3 linked regions of the Nothobranchius furzeri genome follow. The protein of the gene in region 2 interacts with the protein of the main gene of each other region in a biochemical or structural test. Links are inferred from orthologs where the notes say so. Each region holds a gene or a part of one and is shown on either strand. Other genes may lie near its edges. The genes, in order: synrg, ap1g1 and eps15.

Evidence for each region.
Region 1: the proteins of ap1g1 (region 2) and synrg form a complex in vitro, tested with the Homo sapiens proteins (2 studies listed by BioGRID). The link is inferred for Nothobranchius furzeri from reciprocal best matches to the Homo sapiens genes AP1G1 and SYNRG.
Region 3: the proteins of ap1g1 (region 2) and eps15 form a complex in vitro, tested with the Homo sapiens proteins (2 studies listed by BioGRID). The link is inferred for Nothobranchius furzeri from reciprocal best matches to the Homo sapiens genes AP1G1 and EPS15.

Annotation. Positions count from the first base shown.
Region 1 is NC_091753.1:55,105,212-55,108,863, reverse strand, and holds part of synrg (synergin gamma), read left to right. Parts: coding exon 1-132; intron 133-209; coding exon 210-346; intron 347-3,439; coding exon 3,440-3,564; intron 3,565-3,652. UniProt on the Homo sapiens protein: Plays a role in endocytosis and/or membrane trafficking at the trans-Golgi network (TGN). May act by linking the adapter protein complex AP-1 to other proteins. Component of clathrin-coated vesicles.
Region 2 is NC_091749.1:59,364,764-59,368,415, reverse strand, and holds part of ap1g1 (AP-1 complex subunit gamma-1), read left to right. Parts: intron 1-325; coding exon 326-406; intron 407-483; coding exon 484-582; intron 583-655; coding exon 656-711; intron 712-795; coding exon 796-909; intron 910-984; coding exon 985-1,125; intron 1,126-1,414; coding exon 1,415-1,469; intron 1,470-1,578; coding exon 1,579-1,701; intron 1,702-1,850; coding exon 1,851-1,940; intron 1,941-2,035; coding exon 2,036-2,160; intron 2,161-3,652. UniProt on the Homo sapiens protein: Subunit of clathrin-associated adaptor protein complex 1 that plays a role in protein sorting in the late-Golgi/trans-Golgi network (TGN) and/or endosomes.
Region 3 is NC_091748.1:56,873,527-56,877,178, reverse strand, and holds part of eps15 (epidermal growth factor receptor substrate 15), read left to right. Parts: intron 1-122; coding exon 123-285; intron 286-366; coding exon 367-411; intron 412-498; coding exon 499-905; intron 906-2,022; coding exon 2,023-2,089; intron 2,090-2,163; coding exon 2,164-2,234; intron 2,235-2,356; coding exon 2,357-2,492; intron 2,493-2,569; coding exon 2,570-2,778; intron 2,779-2,865; coding exon of another isoform or gene 2,866-2,949; exon of another isoform or gene 2,950-3,652. UniProt on the Homo sapiens protein: Involved in cell growth regulation. May be involved in the regulation of mitogenic signals and control of cell proliferation. Involved in the internalization of ligand-inducible receptors of the receptor tyrosine kinase (RTK) type, in particular EGFR.

The sequences.
Region 1 (3,652 bases), on a different chromosome or scaffold from region 2:
CCCATAATGACCCAGCCGCCTGTCTCCATACCGATGGCCACACCAGCAGCTCCAGTTATGGCCATGGCCCCCTCTGCACCTGCTCAGCCGCCCACAAACACCAGCTTCATTGCTGCGTTCCCTCCTGCGCAGGTAACGCCAAACCTCGTTAAAAAGCCTCTCTGCAGCTGGTTGCTTCTCTTATCTAACCGTCAAACCGTCCCACGCAGGCCGCCAAAACCGACGACGACGAGTTCCAGGACTTCCAGGAGGCTCCGAAGGCTGGAGTGGACCAGGCCTTCGCAAACTTTCAGGGGGAGTCGGGAGGAAGTTTCCCTAATACGATCGCCCCTCAACTCCAAAACAGGTACGGAGAAAACAGAACTCTAAATGGTCTTCATTCTGATCAGTTTCAACATAAAACACTCGGCTTTCCTTTAAACTAGTGGAGTTTTGTGCTCTGCATTTGAAATAAGCTACCAGCTGAGTGTTCCACCATCAACCTCTTTGAAGAGGAGATGTGAACATTTGCAGAGATGAGCGTCCAATACCCCCTCCCCCATGATTATTTATAGCAGAGGTATTCTGCATAATAATTGTCTCTTTCCGTCTGCCGTACACTCTGTTAGTACCTTGTAATAGCCTCCTCTGAATAGCAATGAGGTGGGGTCACCCCATAATAAATTCATGCCAGTGGACAGCGGCGGTGTTCGTTTCTGCGTTTTACTTTCTGTAAACACATTTGATCTGAAACACATTTTCCTGTTTAAGGACTCTTGTTGACTCGAGCTGGAACCTTCAAAAGCCTCGTTTACTTAGAATGCGTGTTTTTATTAAACACGATCGGTCGCTCTGAGTTTCACATGCTGAACCAGAACATCTCCTCCAACCCCATCACCTGCTTTAGCCACAGAAAGGAAACCTACGGGAGCAAAATCAGGTCAGAAAAAGCCACACTCTTCTACGTCGTAAGGAAAATGGATTTTTCTTGGCCCCGCCCACTTTGAAGGACAGAGCAGCTAGTAGAAGCTAACTGTTAGCATTAGCAGCTCCACAACAGCAGAACTCCTTCAGACTTGTTTTATTTATAGAGATGAAACATCGTATTTTTTAAGCCAAATTTCTACGTCTCCCATCAGCTCCACGAGGGGGACACGCACGCCGGGACAGAGACGGTTTGCCTTTGGACTTCTCCGTCTCCCGGGGAGTGTTGCAAAGCAATTCTCCACCAGGACAACAGGGCGTAGCGCTGTTCTGGGGGTATCCCGTCCAATATAGTGTTTTTATATTGTGTTTTTTATATTTAAGAGACTTTCTAACAATCATGCGCTCGCCGCCTCTAACCTACGTTTCCCGTCATTTCCGTCCACGAGTAAAACGCTTGCTGCTCATCTTTTCACTCCTCCAGTCAGGGGGGAATTAAACGTTTATATTTTTACGGTTAGGTATTCTTCAGGCTTCTCTGTGTCTGCTGCTAGATATCTTCAGCTCTCTTTGTGTTTGAGGGCGCAATGGCGGAGCTGTAGACGACAGCGGCGTCGTGACCAATCACAAGCTTGCGTTCTCCATCTCATTGGACGGATGTTTAGAGAAGAGAGCTCGACTCCGTTCATCCCTGCGAGAGAACCCTTGAAAGGACGGATAATGGTGTTGCGTGCGTCCGTCCCGACCATCACCATATATATTGGACAATGCGTGTCCATAGGCTCCAATTCTAAGTTTTTGTGCCAAAATGGGAGGTGACCACCACCACCATTTTGACCGTGTCACAGGTTCCGTCAAGCCCAGACAATTCCAATAAAGGGAAAAGAGGTGGAGCTGAAGGCGGGGCTGTAAGGCTGGGATCAAATGACGACACCCGTCGAACTAGCTACAAGCTAACACAAAGCTAACACGGAGGTGGAAGCTAAGTTAACGGAGGTAGCTACCTAGCTACAACCAGAGTTTACTGTGCACAACACCAGAACTTCTGAGTCAGAAATGCGCCGGTCTGAGCGCTGGGTAAAACCGGGTGGAACACAGAGGTCTCCCGAAAGCTTCACAGGCCGGCAGCCGCACAACAGACGGGCGCCGCCGCTGCGATCTGAGATGCGCTGAGCTGCCGCTGAGGGGAGGGAATCCATACGAATAGTCGGAACCCAGCTCCACCAACATGTCACATTTCAACCCATTTTCTAAAGTGCAGCATTAAGTTAAATGCACTGGGTTTTACCCTATTACATTTAAATTTCATGGTTAAAGGGGCATTATGGAAGTGTGACAGCCAAAACATGTATAGAAATAATAAATGTCTTCTTCATACATTCTCCTGCAATGCCCTGGTCCTGTAGAATGAGCCCTGGCATTTTTACTGTGATTGCCTGTTTTTCTGTAAAATCACAGAAAAAGAGAGATGCTCGGGTCGAGCAGGCTGCTTCATGCGCGTTCACGCTCAGGCATCGCCCTCCGAACCGTTCTTTGAACGTTGTTTCAGCTGTGATCAAGGATATAAAAGTTATAGATGCAGAAGATGCCACTGGTGCTTTAGCTCGCCTAGTATAAGTTCGAGCTGTCGTGCAGAAGACCTGGGTTTGATTCTGGATGTGAACATAGTTTATTTAGAGTTTATTTTTTACATTAATGGTATATTTTTTACAGTAAGATGCCTATTAGTGCAATTAATGCCACAGCAAGTCATTTTGTCCAACAATTGCTCAAATAATATCCAAAAATGAACGCACAAACGCTACAACTAATGGTCTAAGTTGAGAGACTGAAAATGACGGAACAGTTTTCAGGCGAGGCCGAGGCTCTACTGAGGCCTTTCCCCGGAGCTAGCTCTGCGGTCACGTGGGTCTGATGCTCATTAATTATACAGAATTTTAGGCTTTTAATACACTTAAACAGAAGAGTGAGAAAAAAACTCACCCCCCTCAGAGTTGTCATGAGTGTAAACTAGATCATTTAAACCTAAAACATGTTCTGGTACCAGGCTGTAAACATGTTTATTTCTGCTGTGAAATTGGTATTTTTAACATGGGAGTCAATGAGGATTTGCTCGCTTCTGACACCAGCCCCTAGTGGATGAGGGTGAAACTGCAATTTTTGTCACTTCCGTGTTGGCCTCATTTTCAGACCCGTATTGTGGGGGCTTGGTCCCGACGCAGACGCAGAAGTATAAATTAGGCTTTATCCAAGAAAGAAAAGTGAACGAAGGCCACGGAAGGGTGGTGTTTCTGTTAGCCAATCAGAGGACAGACATTTGTATATCATGAAAATTAAGGAGTAAGACTCCTCTGATAAACTTCTCCTTCCTGAAACAGGAGCGCCAAGGCTTTTCTCCCACAAGGCGTTCGTTCAAGCCAGAGACCACAGCGAGTTTATTAAAAACCTTTTAAACATTAAAATCATCTCCGACGTCTGCTAGAGGGTAAAGCTCGTTCACTCCTCTCGTCTGAAGTGAGCTTTTGTGTTTGAACAGCACTCCGGCCATGCTGACTCCAGTGTCTGGCTCCTCCTCTTCCTCTGTCACGTCCACCGATAAGTACGCTGTGTTCAAGCAGCTGTCTGAAGATCAGCCCGCAGAGCCGACGCCCCCCACATCAGGTGAATCAAACTCCCACGGCGCTCCAATCTGGGGCCGTACGTCACAGCCGTGGCCCGTGACTCATGTTAAAACGGTTCGTGACTGTTG
Region 2 (3,652 bases):
GACAGCGAAATGTGACGCATATTGCGTCTTGACATAGTCCATACGTCCTGACGCTACCCCAACGTCCGCATTTAAATCGGGTTATGCAAGTTAGGGGTAACTCTTTCTATTTATGCTTGTAAACGGGTTATTCTGATCAACTCAGAAACCCGAATACCGACCTTAACCCGATCATAACCCGGATAATGGCTGCATGTAAAAGTAGTCATGGTCTCAGGTTTAATGCTGGCGATAAATCCCTACAGCTAAAACACACACTGCTGTTGTAGTTTTTAGTGACTTTGGAATCTTAAAGCTGTTTGTGATGAATGTTTTCAATGACCAGGTGCGGATATTGAGACTACTGCGAATTTTAGGCAAGAACGACGACGACTCCAGTGAAGCGATGAACGACATACTCGCACAGGTTAAAATGATAATAAAACTCTAATTGGATTTAAAAGTCGCTGCTGATTTTGTGTAACTGACAGTCATGTCCTGCAGGTGGCAACAAACACAGAGACGAGTAAAAATGTAGGCAATGCAATCCTGTATGAGACCGTACTCACGATAATGGACATCAAGTCTGAAAGCGGACTGAGGGTGAGTTGATTTAAAGAACTGAATCACAATATTTTTCTATTCTGACTCAGCTTAAATGTCCTTTTCCCTGCAGGTTTTGGCCATTAACATCTTGGGTCGCTTCCTCCTTAACAACGACAAAAATATTAGGTATTTATTAATGCACTCATCCCACTTGAATTTTAGTGCATACATTTAAGTGCTGTTTTTAATAGACCGCTTGATTTTCCCCAGATATGTGGCATTGACGTCTCTACTAAAGACGGTACAAACGGATCACAATGCAGTTCAGAGGCATCGGAGCACCATCGTGGACTGTTTGAAAGACCTGGACGTGTCCATCAAGAGGTTTGTCCTGCTGCTCGAATTGCTGCGGTTATAGTTTCACTCTTCGTTTTCTGATTTTTATTTTTGTTTTTTCAGACGTGCAATGGAGCTGAGCTTTGCTCTTGTGAACGGCAACAACATCAGAGGCATGATGAAGGAGCTGCTCTACTTCCTGGACTCGTGTGACCCAGAATTCAAAGCAGACTGCGCGTCGGGAGTCTTTCTAGCCGCTGAGAAGTACGACCTTACGTTTTGTTTTTCAGTTTGCTGATTTTTAGAGATCTGTGAAGCCATTCTGCCCCATTTTGTCCTGGCATGGTGAATTCAGGGTTTCTTTTGTTGAGAAGTCAGGGTAAATGTCTGATGTCGGTTAAAGAAAGCTGTGTGATGATAAAAAGAGTGATCCATCATCTGAGTGATCATGGTGATGCCTTCTATTTTCTGACAGCGTACATCGTCCGGCTGTACAAGAACTTCACGTTTCCTGTTCTCCTCTGTGACCAATCTAATATTTTATGTTTTACAGGTATGCTCCTTCTAAAAGGTGGCACATAGACACCATCATGAGAGTGCTGACAACAGTATGTATACCACAAAAACATTCCAATGACAATGTAATTGAATGTAATTTGTAATTCTGCAGCTTAGTGTTCTGCGTCGTTTGTTTATTTTTTCTGATTATCTTCACAGGCAGGAAGCTACGTGCGAGACGACTCCGTTCCCAACCTTATTCAGCTCATCACAAACAGCGTGGAGATGCATGCCTACACAGTTCAGAGACTTTACAAAGCACTTCTGGATGACATTTCACAGGTCGGTGCAGCTCTGCTTTAGCTTCTGATTAAATTAAATGTAATCTTCACCTCTGAAGCCTCCAGCCATAGATTTGATCATCTAATGTGCGTTTATGTTTCCATTAGTGCATTAGAAACTTAGTTTTATCTTCTCTGTCCGTTCCCTAGCAACCTCTTGTTCAGGTTGCATCATGGTGCATAGGAGAGTATGGAGACCTGCTGGTGTCAGGGCAATGTGAGGAGGAAGAACCCATCCAGGTATATTGAAAAGATGAAGAAACACACAAACTAAGGATCACGAACATTGTAAATACTAATGCTATACAAATGTATGTTCTTTTATTTTAATAAAGGTGACTGAAGATGAAGTTCTGGATGTGTTGGAAGGGCTTCTTGTGTCTAATCTGTCCACACCTGTGACTCGGGGTTATTCTCTTACTGCTATCATGAAACTGTCGACTCGTTTCAGCAGTGTGAAGTGAGTATCCTTAACTATTTTAGGTATAACTCATATTACACAAGTCTAGATGTTTTTTTGTTGTTGTTTTTTTTCCACTGTAGTGCAAGGCAGCTTTAATTGTACATGAGCAATTCAATGGTCTGTCCAGGAGCAGGAACGTAAAGCGTTAAAATCCACGTGACAACAGAACAAATTACAGCAGTTACAGTGCAGAAAGTGCAGCAAAAGAAACATTCATTCAAAAGATGATGAATACATGAAAATTCTCAATTTTGATTCAAATGTTACTAGAGTTGGGGTACATCTGAGGTCATGAGGAATCTGATTCCCTCTGTGTGCAGCATAGTAGCTAAAAGCAGCTTCACCCTGTTTGGTTCTGACCCGGGGTTCTACCAGCTGACCACTTCCTACGGATCTGAGCCCTGCTGGGCATAGATACTGCAAGGAGATGCAACATGTATTTTGGCCCCAGGCTAGGGCTGGGCGATATGACGAATTTAGACCGTTTTACGATCTACACATCTGACGGTCTGTCATTTTTGAGAGACCGTTTTATCACGATTCACAGCTCTGCTGTTGAATTTCTGCCTCTGAATGAAAAGGGAACTTACCCCAGGCGAATGACACGCCTTTGTTTGACCCTTAACCAATCAGAGTGAGTCATAGTAATACATTAGTGCCCCGCTTGTTTTCACTTGTGTGTGAACAAACATGGCTTCGGCCGCGGCTGAGAGCGACATGAGGTTTTCGTTCCGAAGAGGAACGCAGGGTTTCCTTAGCGCACGGCGCTAACAACTTAGTGACGTGACATGTCTCGGAGAAAGCGTAAAAACACGTTGGACGCTTCTTCTGAATCAGGAAAATAACACCGCTTCTTAAGCAGAGCACGACGCCGCCTCGGCTCGTTCACCCTCTGCCGAGCCGGTGTTGGTACTGGACTGAGCTCGGTCGCTGGAGCTGCATCGTGACTGCCTGATGGAAAACCAGCGGGTTTCATCAGACTCGTAGTTTCTTGTTTTTGCTGGGACCCCCTGTATTTTACCGCTCCCTCCTGCAGTCTTCCCCTATTACAATTTAAAATGATTCTGTAAACTCCGTGTATCAATAGAAACGATCTCTTCCTCTGCCAGCTGCAGTAAATGTAGTCTCCAAATAATAAGAGGTGCATTCATCTGTGCATCTCCTTTGATCCACATCAGTGATGTTTTCAGCACCAGAACAGTGAAGCAAAGAAAGATTCCTGAGTTTGTTAGTAATTTTATTTATTAGGTGCATCTAACCTGTTCTATTTTTCTCTGAAATGAGATCAAATCAGTGCTTCTATGGGTTGTCTCCAATGTGCACTGGAAATTTTTACTTTATTTAGAGACTTGTTGCAGAAAATATTCAGAATTCGCAGTTTTTTGCTACCACAAGCGATCTCTGGTCCAGCCGCACATCAGAGCCGTATTTGAGCTTAACTATCCACTACATGAGCAACTGGGAGCTACGTAGTATTTTGAACAAGTTA
Region 3 (3,652 bases), on a different chromosome or scaffold from region 2:
GATTATTCACACTTCTATCTTCAACCCAGACGCTGAAGTTGATTATTCAAGACAGGATTCATAAAACATGTATAAACTGTAACTGTGAAGATTCTAGTCAGCACCATGTCACCTCCCTACAGGTGGAGTCCCCAGAGCCAGAGAGCAAACCAGAGCCAGCAGACTTGACAGAACCTGCCATCCCCTCGTTGCCTCCTCAGGTTGGACCTCGCTCCATGCCACCACAAACGAGCCCCCCCTCCCTGCCTGAGATGAACTTCTTTCATTCAGACCCTTTTACAGATCGTGAGTTCTCATAATAAAGAGTCAAGCGTCTGTTGAGTCACCCACTGAGATGGAAATGTTTAAAGATGGACTTTTTTGTAGATGATCCATTTAAAGACGATCCTTTTGGTAAAGCAGATGTTGCAGGTCAGTTTTACCTTTTCAGTCTAAGAAATGGGTCTGTTAGGTTGAAAAGAAATGTCCAACTCTATTTTTTTTTCCATTTGATGTCAGATCCTTTTGGAGGAGATCCGTTCAAAGGCTCGGACCCGTTTGCTGCAGATTCCTTTTTTGCACAGACTTCCAACGCCGCCTTTTCCTCAGAGGACCCTTTCTCCGCTTCAGCTGACCCATTTGGTACCACCCCCGGTGTGCCAGAACCAGACCTGTTTGCAGCCAAGCTAAATGATATGGCTCCAACACCATCCGCACCAGCAGCAGAAGTCCAGGATCCGTTTGTTTCCAAAAGCATGAATCCAACTCCAGCATCCAAGGATCCATTCAGCTCGACGGGAACCAGCAAGGTGGATCGGGACCCATTTGGAGGCAAAATCAACCCCTCAGGGGAGACGGATCCGTTTAGTTCACGGGATGGAGGAACAGATCCTTTCAACTGTTCTGTGAGTTCTGATGTTGCTCTGGTGAGTGGCTCCTTTTATCATTTTAGAGATTGTGTATCATGCTATTTTAAACCATACAGAGCAAGGCTAGGCACAGTAAATGATTAAAATACCACCGCTGGCACTATCGAGAGTCTTTAGTTCAGGAAAACAAGTTATTTTCTTGACATTTTATCAACCCAGAAATAAGACGCTTGGTTTTTATGAAATCTCACCTCCACCTGTGTGAATTCCATCATTACACAACGTAACCCTGAAGCCCCAGCAAAGCGCTGTGGACAATGAAGAAAATAGCAGTAGATTAAAACGCACACCAGTAGTGAAGTGGCTACTGGGAGGATCAGGACAAAAGGGCCACCCTGCGATTGCCAAGTGTGACCCCCACCTCTGTTCTCCGTCGTAGAAGCCGGTAATGAGTTGCTAACACCAACGCCACTGTGGCCCATGCTAGGATGGTTTTAACGCTGGCCACAGTCTGAAGAAGTAATCCATCTGAAAACCCACTCCGGTATTGGTGGTGCATTAATAACCAATCTGTGAAATCATGATCTCATTCTGGCTCGGTTTTGAGCTCCTGAAGATGAATTAAACTCTTCTTCAGAACCGTTTTTGGGTTCTAGGCATTATTTTAAATTCAGACTACATAAAGAAATTCCTTCTTCACAAATGTGGAGACTAAACTCCCTTCTTACTACGCAGGGACTGAATGTTAATGTTTACAGTCCAGGAGAGGAGGGATCCAGATTCGATGCTACCTGGATGGAGAGAAGCCGTGCACGATGATGCAGACCTGCTTCATTCAGCTGTTGGCAATGACTTAGCAGACCTCCAGAGACTCTGCAGCTGAGACGGGAAAATACATGTGTGAAGCCAAAAACCACTTTGGGGGTGTTTTTAATGAGGACAAAAACAAAAAACATGGTCAAAAGCTCCAGAAAGTGCATGACGGTCCCTTAAACCCAAATCTAGGCATGATGCTACATGATCACCCATCCCCTGTAGACAGCTGGAGTGGATTAAATACGCGTTAAATAATATAAGAACAAAGACATCATTTAGAGGCTCATCATTTTTTGGAAGATTATTTCAAGTAGTTTATTAAAGCATGCACATAAAGTAATTTGTCTCTGTTTTTCAGGACCCTGCACCATCAAATGACCCGTTTGCCCCTGGAGGTACAACAGTGAACGCCACCTCAGATGCAGGTATAACTCTGGACTCTAGAGACAGGAAGCATTTGATAATAAATACCTTTATGTGGTGAACTGTTTTCTTTCAGATCCGTTTGCTGCGGTGTTTGGTAACGATTCGTTCGTCGGAGGCTTTGCAGATTTCAGCGATCTGTCCAAGGTGATGTTCAGAGTTTAGACATGGCCTCTAAATGTCTGAAGGTTTTACTGTTGAATACATATTTTCCTGAACACATGAAGCTACACCAGTAACTAAACTGGGGTGTCGACTTCCTGTTCCAGTCAAACGGTCCTGACCAGTTTGGGATCAACAACAAGAACCTGTTTCAGGAGGACAGCCAGTCTCCCACCTCGGACATTCCTCCGGCCCTGCCCCCTAAAACGGGTACTCCAACGAGACCCCCCCCTCCACCTCCAGGTCAGTGACACGGCTGGACGGTTGTAAACGTTTGCTGTAGAGACGCATCAAGTGAAAACGAGCACTTTGTCCTCCAGGTAAGAGGTCGTCCATCTCTAGGACCGAGTCCTCTGAGTCCTTCCAACGAAGGGGAAACTTCATCCCACAAACCTCAGGAGACTTCTCCTCTTCCTCCTCCTCCTCCTCCTCCCTGCCTGTCAAGGATCCTTTAGCTGACCCCTTCGCCCCCTCCTCCCCTCCTCGGCACAACCTGCGGGAAGCTGATCGGTTTGCCAGCTTTGACAAAGTGAGCACCTCCCCCTCGTCATCTCCCTCACCTCCACCTGAATGTCAATAGTCACACCCTCTTTTCTTTCCTGCAAACAAATCGCAGCTTTTTCAGGAACGCAGCCTCCGCCAAGTAAATCAGGCCAGTGCCGTTCTCAGCCAACAGCAACAACCACAGAAAGGAAGCTAAAGTTTTATTCACAGTTTAACTAAGTAGCGTGATTCTAGAATGTTTTAGAGATGTTTTCCACTCATCCCACCTGCAGTTTGCTGTTTGTTATTAATGCCATTTTCTTAAAAATCACTAATTTGCCACATTTATTTGGGAGATTTTGATTAAATTTAAGGCTTTTTTTGTAGTTGGATAGATGCTCTCTGGTAATTTGTGACATAAAAATGTACAGAAATATCCTAAAACTATATAAATTAATATATTTGAATTGATTTGTAGCCACAGTCACAATTTCAGAGCTAAAGTAGTTTCTAGATGAGAGGCTGCTTGATGTTGCACCCTGTGCACGCACGCATGTTAAAGCAGAATAACCTAAACTAGGTTACTGCATTAGAAAGATTTTACGCTGCTTTTTGAGTGAACGTGTGTATTGAGGTCCAGCGGCTTATTCTGTGTCTGCTGAAGCTCAGAGACGGGTTTTAACTAACTAGCTTTAGCCAAACTCTTCACGGGTGAAAGAAATATTTCACACCTTGTTTCGCAAAATCACCATATTTAAGGGAAGTTTTACCACAGAGGCCTTTTCCATTAAAAACTGCACCCAAGTGCACCTTTGCTGTAACTGCTTCTGAAACATCCCCCTAAAGCTGCAGAAGTTGTGAATTTGGGTTTGGATGATCGAGAAGACGGTGATGATTTTTTTTAATGACCCCACCTGCAT